Linked DNA regions of Styela clava. The protein of the gene in region 2 purifies or fractionates together with the protein of the main gene of each other region. This does not show direct contact. Links are inferred from orthologs where the notes say so. Each region holds a gene or a part of one and is shown on either strand. Other genes may lie near its edges.

What was found. The genes of interacting proteins can lie anywhere in the genome.
Region 1: the proteins of selenoprotein S-like (region 2) and derlin-1-like purify together in Homo sapiens (affinity purification with western blotting; 6 studies listed by BioGRID and IntAct, with this or other methods). This does not show direct contact. The link is inferred for Styela clava from reciprocal best matches to the Homo sapiens genes SELENOS and DERL1.

The regions. Positions count from the first base shown.
Region 1 is NC_135262.1:19,155,556-19,163,577, reverse strand, and holds the start of derlin-1-like, read right to left. Parts: upstream 3,020-8,022; 5' UTR 2,906-3,019; coding exon 2,847-2,905; intron 2,257-2,846; coding exon 2,157-2,256; intron 2,065-2,156; coding exon 1,953-2,064; intron 1,654-1,952; coding exon 1,589-1,653; intron 1,116-1,588; coding exon 1,089-1,115; intron 912-1,088; coding exon 816-911; intron 574-815; coding exon 521-573; intron 441-520; coding exon 330-440; intron 84-329; coding exon 1-83. Other genes in the region: splicing factor 3B subunit 5-like, read left to right, coding at 3,210-3,470; SUMO-activating enzyme subunit 1-like, read left to right, coding at 4,285-5,325; putative E3 ubiquitin-protein ligase MGRN1, read right to left, coding at 6,887-6,940, 7,232-7,338, 7,611-7,676, 7,839-7,904. UniProt on the Homo sapiens protein: Functional component of endoplasmic reticulum-associated degradation (ERAD) for misfolded lumenal proteins. Forms homotetramers which encircle a large channel traversing the endoplasmic reticulum (ER) membrane.
Region 2 is NC_135253.1:20,574,069-20,581,996, reverse strand, and holds the start of selenoprotein S-like, read right to left. Parts: upstream 3,009-7,928; 5' UTR 2,649-3,008; coding exon 2,537-2,648; intron 2,090-2,536; coding exon 1,952-2,089; intron 1,221-1,951; coding exon 1,114-1,220; intron 1-1,113. UniProt on the Homo sapiens protein: Involved in the degradation process of misfolded endoplasmic reticulum (ER) luminal proteins. Participates in the transfer of misfolded proteins from the ER to the cytosol, where they are destroyed by the proteasome in a ubiquitin-dependent manner.

The DNA of each region.
Region 1 (8,022 bases), on a different chromosome or scaffold from region 2:
CATCAGCTGGTGCAGCACGTCGAGACTGTGGTGCAACACCAAACCCTGATACAGCACCTCGCATGTTGGGAAAGTATTTATATCTAGTAAATAAAATAAGATTAGCAATTTAGTCATATAAAGAGTGGCAAAAAAATGAAAAAAAGTTATTGATCATTCGCTGCAAGTTATACTATTCATTCTGCACTCGTTTTGTGTTTCTGATTTCTGATACCCTTTTTCATACACTGCTAATTTTTAAATCTTAATTCCACAAGCATTAAAAGTTGATAATAAAAATGGTAGACGACAATGCATCCAAATGTTCGTAACAAACAAACATTACTCACAAAAACTGAGGTGTTTCCAATAATGCTCTTCCACCAAAATCTTGAGGATATTTAAATTTCAAAAAGAAGTAAAGATGACCAACAAATATACCAAGTAGTTCCGACATTCCTCTGTAATGCAAAATGATGTAATATCTCTGTATGACCAATTAGTATTTGAATATAGTTGAAATGAAAAATTCAGAACTTACCCTCCTCTGATAATCATGTTGAATGCAAACAAAACCCATGGTAAGTAAGCGGCCTGGAAAATAGAGTAAATTTTTACAGTACTCCTAGCAATTCTATCCCACAAGTATAAAAATGGTGCCGCTTTGAGGCAAACAGCACAATTTAATATTATTGGCATATTTACATTTAAGTGGTACAAATTATGTGAATACAGTGTGAAAATCTTTAGTCAGAATGAAATCATAAATTTACAGAACATGAAATAGACACTCAATACACAATTATAATTGTCTAAATTTCTACAAATAAACTCACCTTAAACCTGGTTCCAAACCAGAATGATACAATTTGATCGCGATTTATTTGACACCAAACGTACAAAGCAGAGAAAATGAGTAAATCAAACATGATCTAAAAATAAATATATAAGTAATGAAAATCATTTTTAACGTGCTTATAAATGCTCAGCACTGGTGACATTATAATGTTGGATTACTTTGATGAACTCCAAAACTGAGTATGTGAGTCTTAGTCTTCTAGATATTTTAAGCATATTGAAATGATGAAAGCATAATTAAATTAACTTACCCTGATTTCCAGAGCCAATGCCAATCCCTGAATTAAAAAAAAACAGGTATGGTTAAATTAATTCAGATGGGCAGAATGAAAAAAATGCATGGCTTAATTTGCTCCTATGAAATGTAATAAGTTATTATAATTTTCAAGTTTGAATGAAAAAGTCAAGAATTTATATGTATTAAAATTTTTCATGAATAAAGCCAAAAATGTAAAACATAGAAACATTGAATAATCAATAAAATTTGAATGCATAAATCCTAATAATAAGGAACATGATATTTTCAACTTTTTTTGAGAATAAATTGACTACTCAGTCATCATAAATTGCGATTGTCGAATATAAGAAATATGGTAAATTTGAACAGAACCGAAAAGTGATTCAATACTTGGCCAAGTAGATCACTTACGATTCATGCTTTGAGAAATGTAAGAAGGTTAGGCTACTACTATAATTTCAACAACTACAATCAGGTATAGAGCAAGGCTACATTCATGAAAATAGTTCCTACCACTGTAGTAAGCCATGTGAAAGCAAGCATGAAAACATAGTCTGCAGGTCTCCCTTCAAATATACCTGTATGTAAATGTATAAATGAATTAAATATAGAAAGAATGCGTGTGTGATTAAGTCATCCAATCGGCTTTCCTCTCCCATGTGATAAAATATAAAACTAAAATATTAATTTCATAATTTCTGGTAGCAGACGACAAAATGGTAATACCAAGATATACCAGGATGAACCAAAAAGAAATAGTCATAATAAACATTATTTATAAAGCAATATAAAATGTGACCTCTGCTAAAAACAATTGAGATGATGAACAAGGATTATTATGATGTGTAATAAAAAATTAGGTAAGAAAATTAATCACCAGTTTCAAGTCTTGTTGAATAACTGTACAAAAAATATAACATAATGAGATAATGAAAACCAGTCATCGGTGTTATTGGGTAATAAACAGCAGCAGTGAATGGACGCCATATCTGAAACAAGGAGTGAAAGAAAGTATAATTATGGTCAATATTTTAACATTTCTATACATCAAAAATTAGTATTAAAATATATAACAAATTACCTGAAATCTACTGAATAAACTGTACCAATCCAAGATCAAATGCATTCCATTAATAATGTTAAATTTGGCCACAAGTGGAACTACAACTGATGCACTGAACCTGAAAAGAGAATGTGTGTAAAATAATGGTATATTACAGAACATCAGTACTACAGTGGATAGGATAGGATTTACATATTTATCCCGGGGGAGAGGAAAGCCGATAAGACGGCTTATCCATATGGCAAACCACGGCCTCTCGTCCGGTTAGACGAGAGTCCCATTCCAAGTCGGGTATGGGATTAGTTAGTTATACTGTATTGTTTGTTTTCGGAAGCATGGACTTGGTGGTGGAGGAAGCCGTAACCGACCAGCGGTTACGTGAACCACCCAACGACGGCGAGGAGTCCAGCAATCCTCTCGCACATAACCATCTCTGCATGGGATGCGAACCCACGCAGAGTAATTAGAGGTGCGGTGGCGAGCGTATTCCTAATGCTTAACCCATTGAGCCACACCGCCGCGCCGATGTTGGAAGTACATGAGGTATGAAGCTAGGTACTGGTAGATAGGCACAGTACTATATAATGAATACCTGACTGTTGGACCCAAAGACTGTGTGTAAACTGTACCTGTGTAGCCTACCTGTATTGTCTGATTGGAGTGTAACTACAGTCAGTTGGTAAAAAAATTTACGTACCGGTAACTTACCAATAACGAGTTATTCTCGGTATTCCACGATACCAGTCTCCAATATCATTAGACGCCATCTTTGAATATCCCTTATTATAAAACTACACCTAATACTCACGACAAACTGACAAAATATCAATGAAAACTTTAAAAACCAGCAAACAACAAGTTCTTCTTTGCAGACGTGTCTCAAATTATGCACAATAATGTAGATATAATGACGTAGTATGACTTGACAAATATATTGACAGACACATGTGCACCACCTTGTGATCAGATCCAGGAAGGATTACCGTACTTTGGGTTTCTTTTGGCATTTGGTGGTTGTTTGTAGTGAGAATAAGTATTTCGTGAGTGTACAGAGACAAAATATCAATCAAAATGGGGGATCGATATAATATATTTTCTCAAATGGAGCATTTGCAGTCGAAATATGTCGGTACTGGACACTCTGACACTACAAAATGGGAATGGTTGACAAATCAACATCGTGATAGTCTTGCTTCTTACATTGGTCACCCGGATCTTCTAAGTCACATTGCTATTGCGGAAAACGAAACAAGAGCTCGAGTTCGATTTAATGTGTTAGAAAGAATGTTCCAACCTTGTGGACCACCTCCTGATCGTCCAAATGTTGATTGAAGTGTGATTTAATTGGAAAGCGCTTGGAAACTGACATCTGCAGATCTGAGACACATGTCATACCCACCTCAAAATTGACTAGTGTTATGAAGCATGAACTGCCATGTTCTTACTAGTTTTAATATTTAGTTGTTTGAGAAGTTTAAAACTGAAATATTTCACAGGAAATACTGCAATGCTTTGTATTTAATTTGAAATGATATTACTATCTTGATGAAATTAATTTGATTTCACTATGAATAAAGCTCTAGACAAGAAGTCCATATGAAATTAAACTATTTTATTCAATCAAGTATTATTTTTCATATCCAAACTGCTAATAAATGTAGGTCCATAATTACAGAATTAAAATGATTTACAAATAGAGATATGTTCCTAATATTTTCTATTGTAATAGGTTAAATAATTGTGGCTATCTATCCATCGTGGCTTGCGTTTATAGATGAATGTGTTTCGAAATTTTCAATTTTGAAGCCATCCTGTTTTATAAATTTGTCATGTTTTAATTGTTGAAATGGATTGAATCAAATCAGTAATTCTTGTCAGTACAACTCCACTAAGCACAGCTTTAAAAACAATTCATTTTGAGTTATTTTATCAAAATGTAGCCCCGATCAGGCAGGGAAACTTTTTTTGAAACAACTTTATTTTTGTCATTTCTCTTGTCTCACCTAATTCGAACGATATATTATTCATGCTCATGTCAATTTTTTCTTCGACTTCATTTCTTGAAACATGATATTGTACTGCAAATGTTTTTTATTTAGGTAGTAATCTTTTAAAATCTTAATTCTATCAAATATTCAACATTGTAATGATGGAAAAAGAAGCTGATATTACTGCCGAGGAGTTTGCACAATATGATCGCCAAATTCGATTGTGGGGACTTGATGCACAAAAACGTCTTCGTCAAGCTAAAGTTCTTGTTGTTGGAATCGGTGGACTTGCTTCTGAGGTGGTCAAAAATGTTGTACTTGCAGGTGTAAAGGCTTTGACAATGCTTGATGACAAAGTAGTTTCAGAGTCTGATATGGGTTCTCAGCTTCTTGTAACTCATTTAGACATGGGAAAAAATAGAGCAGAAGCATCAATGGCCCGAACACAGCCGCTCAATCCAAATGTAATCGTATCATGCGATAAGATGCCAATTTCGGATAAACCGGATGATTTTTTTCGAGAGTTTGATATAGTTTGTTTAACGGAGGTACCATTCGAAGAAAGGATAAGAATTAATTTAATATGCAGATCATCTGGAATCAAATTCTTTTGTGGTGATGTTTTCGGATTTTATGGATATTGCTTTGCTGATTTGGGGATGCATGATTTTGTGCGTGAAGAAGTGAAAAAAGAGATAAAGTATGATCTTGATGGAGAACCAGAAGCAAAAAAGAGCAAACTAGATGAAAAGGGCAAAAAAGAAGAAGAAAAGATTCTTGTAAAAGTTACAGATGAATTTTGTAGCCTTGAAGAATCTTTAACTGAGGATTGGTCAACAAGATCAAGGAGAATGATGCGACAATCATCATATATTTTTTTTATCATTAAAGTAATTGACAAATTCAAGGAAAAGACGGGTCGAAGTCCAACATTCGGCAAAGAAGATCAAAATTTACTCCTAGAACTGAGAAATGAGGTTCTCAAGGATTCAAATGTTTCAGAAACTTACATTCCTGAAGAATTTCCTCAATTTTGTATTTCCGAACTGAATCCAATTTGTGCGATAACTGGTGGGGTATTGGGCCAAGAAATCATAAAAGCTGCATCACAACGAGATGCTCCACATAATAACTATTTTTTCTACAATGGTCGTAGTCATGCTGGCATAGTAGATCAAATTTGTCCACCTTTTAAATAACGGATGGAATCTCACATTAGCATAATTCTGCAGTTTAAATGCAACTACATAAAACAATAGAATTTAAAATTACTAGCACTAGCACAAGGGCTGGGCACAGACATTTGTTCAGAATTGAACAAGTGCCTAATCTGTTCTCTTCTAGTCATCCCTACTACACTTGGTTGGCAGAATGGCTTGATTTTTTTTTCTGGTTTTTTACTTTGTATTTTTGTATTCTTAATAACCTTTTCCTAGCCTGATAACTAAGAGAAAATGACACCAAATAAGCTCTTTTTTCATGTTATATATATTCAATGTCATCAGAAAATAGCTGCTGTACTGTACACCAAAGCAATAAACTGAAATTATTTGATTGATTGGAAAGATGTAATTACAGTGAAGAAAGTAGAATAAAATAGCGAATGAGTGCATTCGAATGTCAACTAAGCTATTGCGGGTTATCTTGGAATAGAATCATTTTTTAATTTGAAAGGGGGGCTTTTACACTCTAAATTTCATTCATTCATACAGGAGGGCCAGATACAAATATCTGGGTGAAACCACAGGCTGTATGTAGAGTACCTTTGATTAACAAAGGCTTTCTAGTAGTTAAAACACGAAAATGGTTGTGCCATAGATAAATTAATTGGACTCGGGTTTAGGCTTAAAACGCTAAGAGTTTGAAATTAATGGCACGAACCAGATTTAACTAAATTGAAAATTCATGGGCCGGACATTATCAAAAATTAGCGCTCCATCGTGGGCCGCACACTTTTTTTCATTGTAGGCGAATTTGGTTGCACACCACTGCCCTAAATCAATTGATTTATAACCAGTTCAAAACTAATTTAAAAGAGACATCGTTTACATATAAAATAGATAACCCAATCATGGTCTATATAGCTTACCTGCATTAATCGTTTAGTCTATTGACCGGTCAAAAAACTCGTTAAGGTACCTGGACAATCCTTGTTATGTATGCTCTGGACTCCACAAACCTTGTAGCATTCTAATGGCATTATATTTAGGATTTTCATACATACTGGGCCAACAAACGGAATAAAATTTCCAACACACATGTATACATACGTTAATAAAATACGATTTCATCTTGAATTTGAACAAATATACAAACAATTGTCTCAATATTGAAAAGATAATAAAATATTTGATTGTATGCAGAGAGACGAGAAAAAAAATGTAGATGTAAAGGAGAAAATATATGAAAAGCCAGGTTTTTCAATGTTCATACATGCAGTATGCTTCAACCAGACATTAGGGTAAGCCTGGGTAGTCAAGACTGATATACCTGGCCATTTATAACAGAAAATAGAGTATAACCATAATGTTTAAATCTGGTGAGTGGTGACAACATCTGCCAGGAAAAGGAGAGAAGTCAAAAATGTTTTATATACAAATAAGTGCATAAAAGTGAACACAATCACACAAATAATGAAAAGTATGATATATAAATTACAAATGGGTAACAGATAGAGCACACTACGGTATGTTCCATCCAAATATAGGCGAACAAAAGTATATTCCAATTTGCTGAGACTCTCAGTGTATTCTAAAACTATCAAATTTCAATGCTTCCGTCCTTATTGATTTGGTATTCCATGGAACTGGATGGCTGACAGAATAAAAGTGATTAATTAGTGGTTAGCAAGTACTTCTCATTATCCACAAGAAGAGAAGGTTACCCAAATTTTCTTCCCATACATGCCGTATTTCCCAGCTGATTTTATTTTTTCTGAGGTCGGCTTATTTTTCGTCTTCTCAAACATGATTTAGTCTTACTGGAGGACTATATGGAAAAGTCCTCTTTTTTATTGCTAAAAATAGGCTTTGTCTTGTTTGCGGGGTAGATTAATTAGCCGAAGTTTTTTTGTATATCACTAACAATACTCGCTTCAAAATTTACCTGCTCTGATGCAGTACCTCCTTTTTCTTCAGATTCAGGCAAATGTTCTTCTATACTTTTCTGGCTTTCAGTACTTTCTGTGCCAATTTCTTCAGTATTCGATACACCTATATGTTGGTAAAAATTTTCTCGCTGAGAGTGCATTCTTCGTACGGAGTATAAAATATTCTACAATATGCTTTATCACTTCATTATTATTAATAGCAATGGCTTATTCATATCCAATATTATTACACATGGGTAAGAAGTAATATCCCTCGCTTTATCAAATCAATTCACCAAAAACAACTTGCTGTAAAATATTTTAAATAATGTGCATATTTATTGGTATAAGCAAACAAAAATGTTCCTGATAAAATGGGACGAGCCAGATATTCACCTGAAAGACTGATTTCAGTATAGTCATGCTCTGGAGTCTCTTCATGTTCTTGTTGGTCTTCATTTGCTTAAAAAATTATCAAACGTTACAATCATTGCATGATTCTTGTATAGAATATTCTAAGACAGTACTCCAATAAACAGAAGTGACTTATTTTTTCATGCCCAATTTTATTACACATAGATGGATAAGATATTCCTGACAATATGGGACAAGCCAGATATTCACCTGAAAGACCGATTTCAGCATATTCATGCTCTGAATTCTCTTCATGTTCTTGCTGGTCTTCATTTTCTTGAATAAAGTGAAATGTAGACAACATTTTTATTTTATTTTTATTTGCAAAATTATCCAATGGTAATAAAAACCATTCAAAAGCACAAAATTAAATTATGATTGGTAAAAAAATTAC
Region 2 (7,928 bases):
TGTTAGCCAAGTGAATATACCCCCTGCCCATAGGTTTCAGTCCCTTTACACAATATTATATAAAATAGGCCAACAAAATTACCGTAGTTACCAGTACCCCCAAATTGGTACACAAAGTTTTGGAGCGCCTGTTAATGAGCCGGCTTAGATGGTTGGTAGCAAATTCTATAAGGGCAAAACCAAGGCCTAATACAGCTCTGAAAGAAAACCTACTATCTATTTGGCATCCCAATACCAATATTGTTCCACCATCATGGCAATTCATATGGTGATGGTACCTTATAAAATATATCTATCTCTACTTTTAATCAACTGCACTAGCATAATATACACAAATTAGCAAGCTTACAAAGAAATCCAAATTTATGGTGCAGAAAACCATTGTGTGGGCTTAATCATGGCCTCTCAATACACAAAATACACTGGTGAATGCAATTTTGAGTTGTCTCAAGCAATGGGAAGTAGCAACGGAGAAGAAAACCTATTATGTTGACTTAATCATGGACTACTAAGGCCTCTCAATCAAGGAAAAAGATAAATAAATGCCAAATAAAATAAATCGAGTTTTTTCGAGCAATGGGCAGCAGTTTATTTCAAAACTCCAAAATGTTTACAAATTAAAAAGAAAGGATTCTGAAAAGAAGTCTGTTAAATCCCCATACAGGGAGGTCTCGGGTTACGACATTCGCGACTTACGCTGTTTCGAGGTTGCGAATGCGCACTCCATAATGCTGTTCCGAGGTTACAAACCATGCCATTAAAAATATAAAAAATGATACTGTACTGTACAGTATTTGCTTTTATTCATGGGATATGAAATTGTTTTCTGTATTTTTTAATAAAGCACTTTTCTGCATTATTTGTACATTTAATTACAGTACCATGCTTTACAATACAGTACGATATGTGTAGAGTAATTTATGCAATGTACAGTATAATGTTCAGACTTACACTGAAATTGGGGTTACACCGCGTCTCGAGAACGGAACAACATCGTAAGTCGTGGACTCCCTGTACTTAGAAATTGCTACTAATTCAAGCATAATTATTTGACTGGCAATATGAATCGATCATCAATATTATACTAAGGAATGAACAATAAAATTTATCCACCTCTTGCCTTCTCTCTGCCTCCCTTCTTAGAATTGCAGATGCTTTTTCCTGCATTCTTTGTCTGGCAAGTTCCATTGCTTCAGCTCTTTTAGCCAGAACTTCAGGATCTAAGTAGCAAAAAAATATTTGAAATAATTGAAGAATATAGTTTTTAATAGGGAGCTACACAACCTTCTTTGAAATATTCTATAGTCTCCATGCATGATTGTGAAATCTTTATAATATTCGGGTTTCTCAAGTAAAAAAAGGCGTCACCATAGGTCAATCGGCACAATGCATCTCAAATATAGTATCAGTAGCTACTCGTATCTCGATGGCCGCCTGTAACTTGTCTAATATGTTGTGTTTCTTTCACATTTGAGTGAGTTTGAGTGACCTCAATTAAAGAAATTTCTCTTGTAATATTCTATATCAGCGCTTCTCTGACTGCGTTCTGAGAGCTTCTTCGAAGCGTTCCGTGGAACAGGAATCGAAATTGCGACTTAATTGGTCGTCATGCCAAACTCGGTTTCATTTCGGCAACTCTGGATAGTAAATTTGCCTCCAAAAAGGCGGAAAGGGCCCTGCTATCTAAAAAGGCAGATAGGCCTAGCGCCAGTCTAAAAATCATGGAGTTTTCATTAACCATTCAATATGGTTGACTTTCTAAGAGTCAAATTAACAGCAAACATTTTAATTTCAACATAGAATAAATTATTTGAAAACTATCCATTAATTTTATTTTCTAATTTCTTGGCGTTCCGCGAGGCAAGATAAAATACGCTCCGGGGCCAAAAAAGTTTGAAAAACGCTGTTCTATATTATACAAGATCATTTTTAATATTGCAAGTCGACTTACCATTTTCCACGGGATCATTTCGTTCTTTTGCTCTTTCAATCATTTTCTTGACTTTTTTCTCAATGTTACTCCATAATATTATAAGTAGAACAGCAATTACCATGAGAGTCCATCCATATGTGGCAAGAAATGATGTTACTAAATACAAAAAGTGAAAATTATTATTTTCAAAATGATGGTACAAATTTATAAGAGGTGTTCAACACTGCTACCTCTTTAAACTATTAAAAGATTTGCCGTATTACAAACGTTTTTTGATGATGCAAATCCATGTTTTGCATATTTTGCCCAAAATATGGGGTACCAGAAATCGTCTCAGCCCTGATATAAGTGGATCAAAACTACCAACCAAGAATTATGAGACTTGTGAAAAATATGCAATAAGTCCACCTCCAAAAAATATAATTTTTGATCCATGCATTGAAAACCGTTCGACAAGGTTTCTTCTAAGTCAGACTGCTGTTTGGAATTAATTTTCATATCTGAGCAATCCACGTATAATTTAATAACTTCTTTACCTACGTTATCATACTATCATGTGGCTTTGAAGCCAACAAAATCATACTGCAACATCACATTACTCACCTGCATAGTAAGAAGCCATCATCACATTGGGATTAATATTTTTCAGATCAATTTGTTCCTCCACAAATTCATCTTCTACTTCCACAGTTGCATCCTCCACCTCAGCGGCCATTCTTAGGCCAAAAATTAATATTTATACAATATATAATTCAACTGAAAATCAAATTACACAAAATATTCAGTCAATTCATTACTAAAATCCTTCCTTAATCAAATCAGCAAAAATAATAACAATAATGATATAAGTTCAATCATGCTCATCTGGGCATCATTTTTAGGACTAAGAAAAGATTTATGCACTACATTGCGAAACAAACTAAAATTCAAATTTACACATATTACTTATTTCAACATAAAACAGTTCTAAACCAACATAAAATAAAGACAAAGTTCCATCATGCACATCACAAATCCAAAACAAGATATCCAGTACAGAGAGCGTTCATAAAGTCCGCTCATAATTTAAATAAACGGGGCTCCCGAAGTATGCGAACCAAGATGGCGGACATCGGAATGTAATATGAGTACTATGTTAGGGTTAGGCCATAATTTTAGGTATAAATACTACGGGAGGCTCTTGGCTAGTCTTCAAACTGATAATAGGACTAAAATAAGGAAAATTGGAAAAAAATTATCGCTTAACCCTAACCTGTTACCCATGTTACGTTCCGATGTCCGCCATCTTGGTTCGCATACTTCGGGAGCACCAAATAAACAAATCATATGATATCGAAAAATTCCGTTTGCATTCGAAAAAAAAATTTAGTCTTCATGAACGTACATTTTTATTTAAGGCAACAAATCTTATCTAAAATATATCCCACAAAATTGACAATATAGTTGTATAAGCTAGTTAATCTTGCATATCGAAAAAAACTCTGAATGTGGTCGTTAAAAAACTTTGCAGCGATGCAAGCAGTTTTATCACACATTTAATGACACATACATCCTGTCCCACAGAAATTGATTCATAAACATAAAACAAATTAACAATTGTTTTAAATTTAGAATATCGAAAAGGCACGCATTGACATAAATTGGTCGAAAAAAAGAAATATCAGAAAATATATTGTAATAGGAATATAATTACTAATATTTCAATTAATAACTTTTTCCAAATAAAGTATTAAGCTATCAAGAACATCAGTCTTTTTTCGATTTCATGAAACATATAATCTGCAAAGAAAAAAATGCACATACAAACGGTCTAATGCCACCAAGACAGAATTGTAAAACAAACGCAACGATGTGTGAGCAGAATAAGCAGCATTGCCAAGTCCAATTCGACTGTTCAGAATTATACTAAACAAGAAACGTACATTAGCGCATTAATAACAACAGTTTAACGCTCTGATTCTAATATTGTCTTACAACACTCTTATCCAATAGTGCTTCAAAAATGATAAGCAATAAATCTCCAATTAAAAAATGCCAATCAATCACCAGCAAACTCGACCAAATAAGGTATCAATTTAGTGCACCATCATCCTTAAAAAATTTGCTGTTAATTTTTCAATCTTTTTTACATCGTTAGCATGTTCTGTTTCATACTGCAGTCTTATTTGATCGTCTGTTACTGTGATCACAAGATTTCCGTTGCAGTGTCTGTATTTTATTGAGTATCTGACATTGAAGGGATCACTTTGATAAAGTCTTTCAGCAGCTTTTGCAAACTCTTCCCAAGTTTCGATTTTTGTCATCTTTATATTCTATTATTATGAACTTTTAGAGACTAAAACCTGATAATGTAGTAATCAATGAAAACATAAAATCAGATACCACTCTGGCATAAATGAATATACTAAGTTACCACTGGGACTGCTTGAATAACTGAATAACACCAAACATGAATAGGTCTGAAATTATTCATGATTAAGTCAGTCATTTCAGCTTTTGAAAAAACAAAAACGGGTGCGAAATGAAATTCTACACAACCTACAATTAGGCAGGTCCCTCGCCGAATAATGAAATAAGGTACGGTAAATCGGTACCGTACCGCCTAAATTAAAAAAAAAGCTGAAATGCAAACTCGCGCTGGACGCTACCGGTACCGGCTACCGTAGGCTACCTAGCTTTTATGAATACCATTCATCCTCTTTTATACTCAGATTGAATTTCAACACCAGTCTGCCAGTGGGAATTTTATATTCAGATCGAACTAATCAGTTTGTTAAAGGCAGGTTTATATATGAAACAGTGATACACTAACAAGAAAAACATAAACCACAACGCGCTTCATTCCTCAAGCACTTGCTGAGAGACACGTCAAGAATCAGAAACGTCAATCAGCGGTTTGGTGGAGTGTCTGGAGTTCCAGATAACTCCGAGTTCTGAAATCCGGAGTGGACGTTAAAAATAAGAAATGCATCGTTCTCGTTTATCAACAGCCTAAACCTGAAATAAAATTCGCAAGCTTGCGACTGTAACAGAAATGACCATGGGTGTCCTAGAAGGACTTTTTTCCGGATGTAAGTAATATAAAAGTAACTTAAATTTCGGATACCTACTGTAACAACTGTTGATCGTTGCGTGCTTGTATTCGGTGAAGATATAGATCTTGGATCTAAGCGCAATGTCGCTTGTTGAGAGCTTAGATTAGGGGTCGGCAACCTACGACCAATATATTCACTGAATTATAGTTACGAAACAGCCGTTTTGACAATTATATTCTTTAGACTAAATTGTATTATAACCTAACAAGTATATAATTCACTACTACTAGTTTAATGAGCATATAATTTAATTAATTATAATTAGACAAATGGCAACAAAACGCAGAAAAATTGATGCTAAGTGCAAAGGCTTCAATGGCGCCGAAAATATTCAAATGTAATTTCATGAAATGCAGTGAGGAAATAAATCTATATTCTATTCGATAGATGTATCACTGCTTGATTTTTATTATAAAAAGTATCATCCGTTTGGTTTTCAACTTTTTTAAAATATGTGCGACCCGCCAATGACTTGCAACCTTTAATTTTGGCCTGCGAGCGACAAAAGGTTGCCGACCCCTGGCTTAGATGATTCGTCCCGATTTGATTTTTGAGGAAATCGTTTTTTTTTTGTTCGGACCGTCGTCGGATGCGGACGTGGCTACTTGAAAAGACTGAAACGTGTGTGGTACATTCACTGCGACAGAATGCAATAGTCAGATATTCATATACAGCAGTGGTTACCAACATTTTATTTATCGCGGCACACTAACGAGCTCTTCAAATATTCGCGGAACACATATCACAAAACAAAAATCTTTTTTACTCATAAAGCCATTTTACAATACAATACAATACAATTTTATTTCGATCTTTCGTCTACAACACAAATAAAAAGAACACAGACAAGGTCAACTGAAAGATCGGGAAAGTGGGCAAAACCTATATAAAGGTTTATAACGAACGCTGTAACCAGCGATTATGCCCATTCACCCACATTCACACACGTGAAACACACCAAGACAATCATACTAGAATAAATTAAAGAACAGAGTACATAATCACGAGAAAATAAATTTCACGGGCAAAGCTTACTTGTCATGTTGTAAATATTTTGATGAGTGAAAGTCGTGATAAATACAAAAACATTTAGAAGTTATGTGACGGTGCCTGTGCCGAAATGCGAAAACCAATAATAATATTTAATTGATTAGCTGCTGTTTTTTGTAAACAAATAAAACTAAAAAGTAAACAACAAACATAAAAACACGAAAACTAGTTTCGGGCGTTGCTTCTCTTGTTGCAAAATTGGTTCGAATTCGTAGAAATTGGAGTAAATGTTTTTATTCTTTGCAATGTCCAACATTCCGGAGCTTCCATCTTGTTGTGTTGAACATCGATTGTTCCTATGAATTGTTTCTCTCGCATGAATTTACTGACCAATCCAGTGTCGGCAGCTAAGTCGATTATTTCTGTTTCCTCGAAGTCCCTTATTTCAATCACGTGTTACAAGTGATCAACGCAATTTTTATCGAAGCAGCTCCAATGTATAAAAGATATAAAAGCTAGTCTGTATTCAATCCTGTTTGTCCGGTTTTCCAAGTTTTAGTCCAAGACGTATGTGACCTAAAAACATTTTCACTGGTCTCTGAGTTGTAAACAATTTCGATCCCGACTCCAATTCAGTTCCAGTTCCCATCTTATATTTTGCTATAAAATAATGAAAACCAAAGAATATCAGAATAGAGGAAAGAAACCCGATTGTCCCCGTCTTACAAAATTATCATTTCGGAAAAGTGCGATAGTCGAGCCTGAAAACATGGTTAATAGTTACCAATATTATAAGAGTTATCTTACAATAGGGTACACGAGAGCGCCTTCGGAGCACCTCAAATTATTGTTAAACATGCGCGGCCGCACGGGTACTACGAGATCTTCGAACGCATCGCCCATCACGCGCTTCCCAATTTCAAGCTAACAAAATTACCATTTCTAATGCCGGAATGCGGATATCTATGAAGAAAATAGTTGACCTTCTTATGACTTTATTTTTTTATTGTGCCTTTTTTATTTTCGTATTAAATATTGAATGAAAACCCGGCAAAGTCATTGCATGAATTTTAATGTTATGAGACGACCACGTCTATAACTCTGTTTTATTCTGTATGCCCATATTTATTCTTACCACTTGAGTCACTAGTGAGCAACTGTGTAACTTTCTCTTTCACTTGGTTTGTCAGACTGCCGGCAGTGTAGATATTTCTCTGTGTATTAGGTTATTGTTATAGCGTTTTATTGCCGGTAATTTGTGTAATTATTGTTGCAAAATGATATTAGTAGTACAGGTTTACTATTTCACCAGTTTGGCATAGCTCTGTTCACTAGTTAACTTGTATTTAAAACTTCCGTAACTAGTCTATTTTCGCAGTTTATTTCCTGTGTGATTTCCATATGTCTATGCGTATTTCCATGTATATTACGTGTTTGTCGCTAAGGTAGGATTTGTGTTGTATCTTTAGTGTCATACTAGTTATTCTTATGTATATCTAGGTATGTTTTACCCGGTTTTTGTATCCCATTATAAGTAAATAGTTCATGACTGTGACGTCATAGACCAATTCCGTATCTTGTGTTACGTATGTATCCTACGGTATTTGTACTGTGTTTTTATTTGTTTATTGTATTTCTTATTGGAGTATTTGGTTGTATTAAGTTCTTACAGGTGTATAATTAATCTAGTTAGTTAACTTAGTTACTCTGCTGTAATTGGAACCGCAAGAAGATTATTTCGTGATTGACATCTAGTGCAACTTCAGTGTCCAATAAGCTGGCAGAAAGAACCTGCGTGGTGATATCAATTTTGGTACGCCACAGTTATTTGGAGTTTAAATATTTTTTCAATAAATCGGCAATAATGGCAATTCTACTAGTCAAATAATGATTCCTTGGTAAAATTTGGA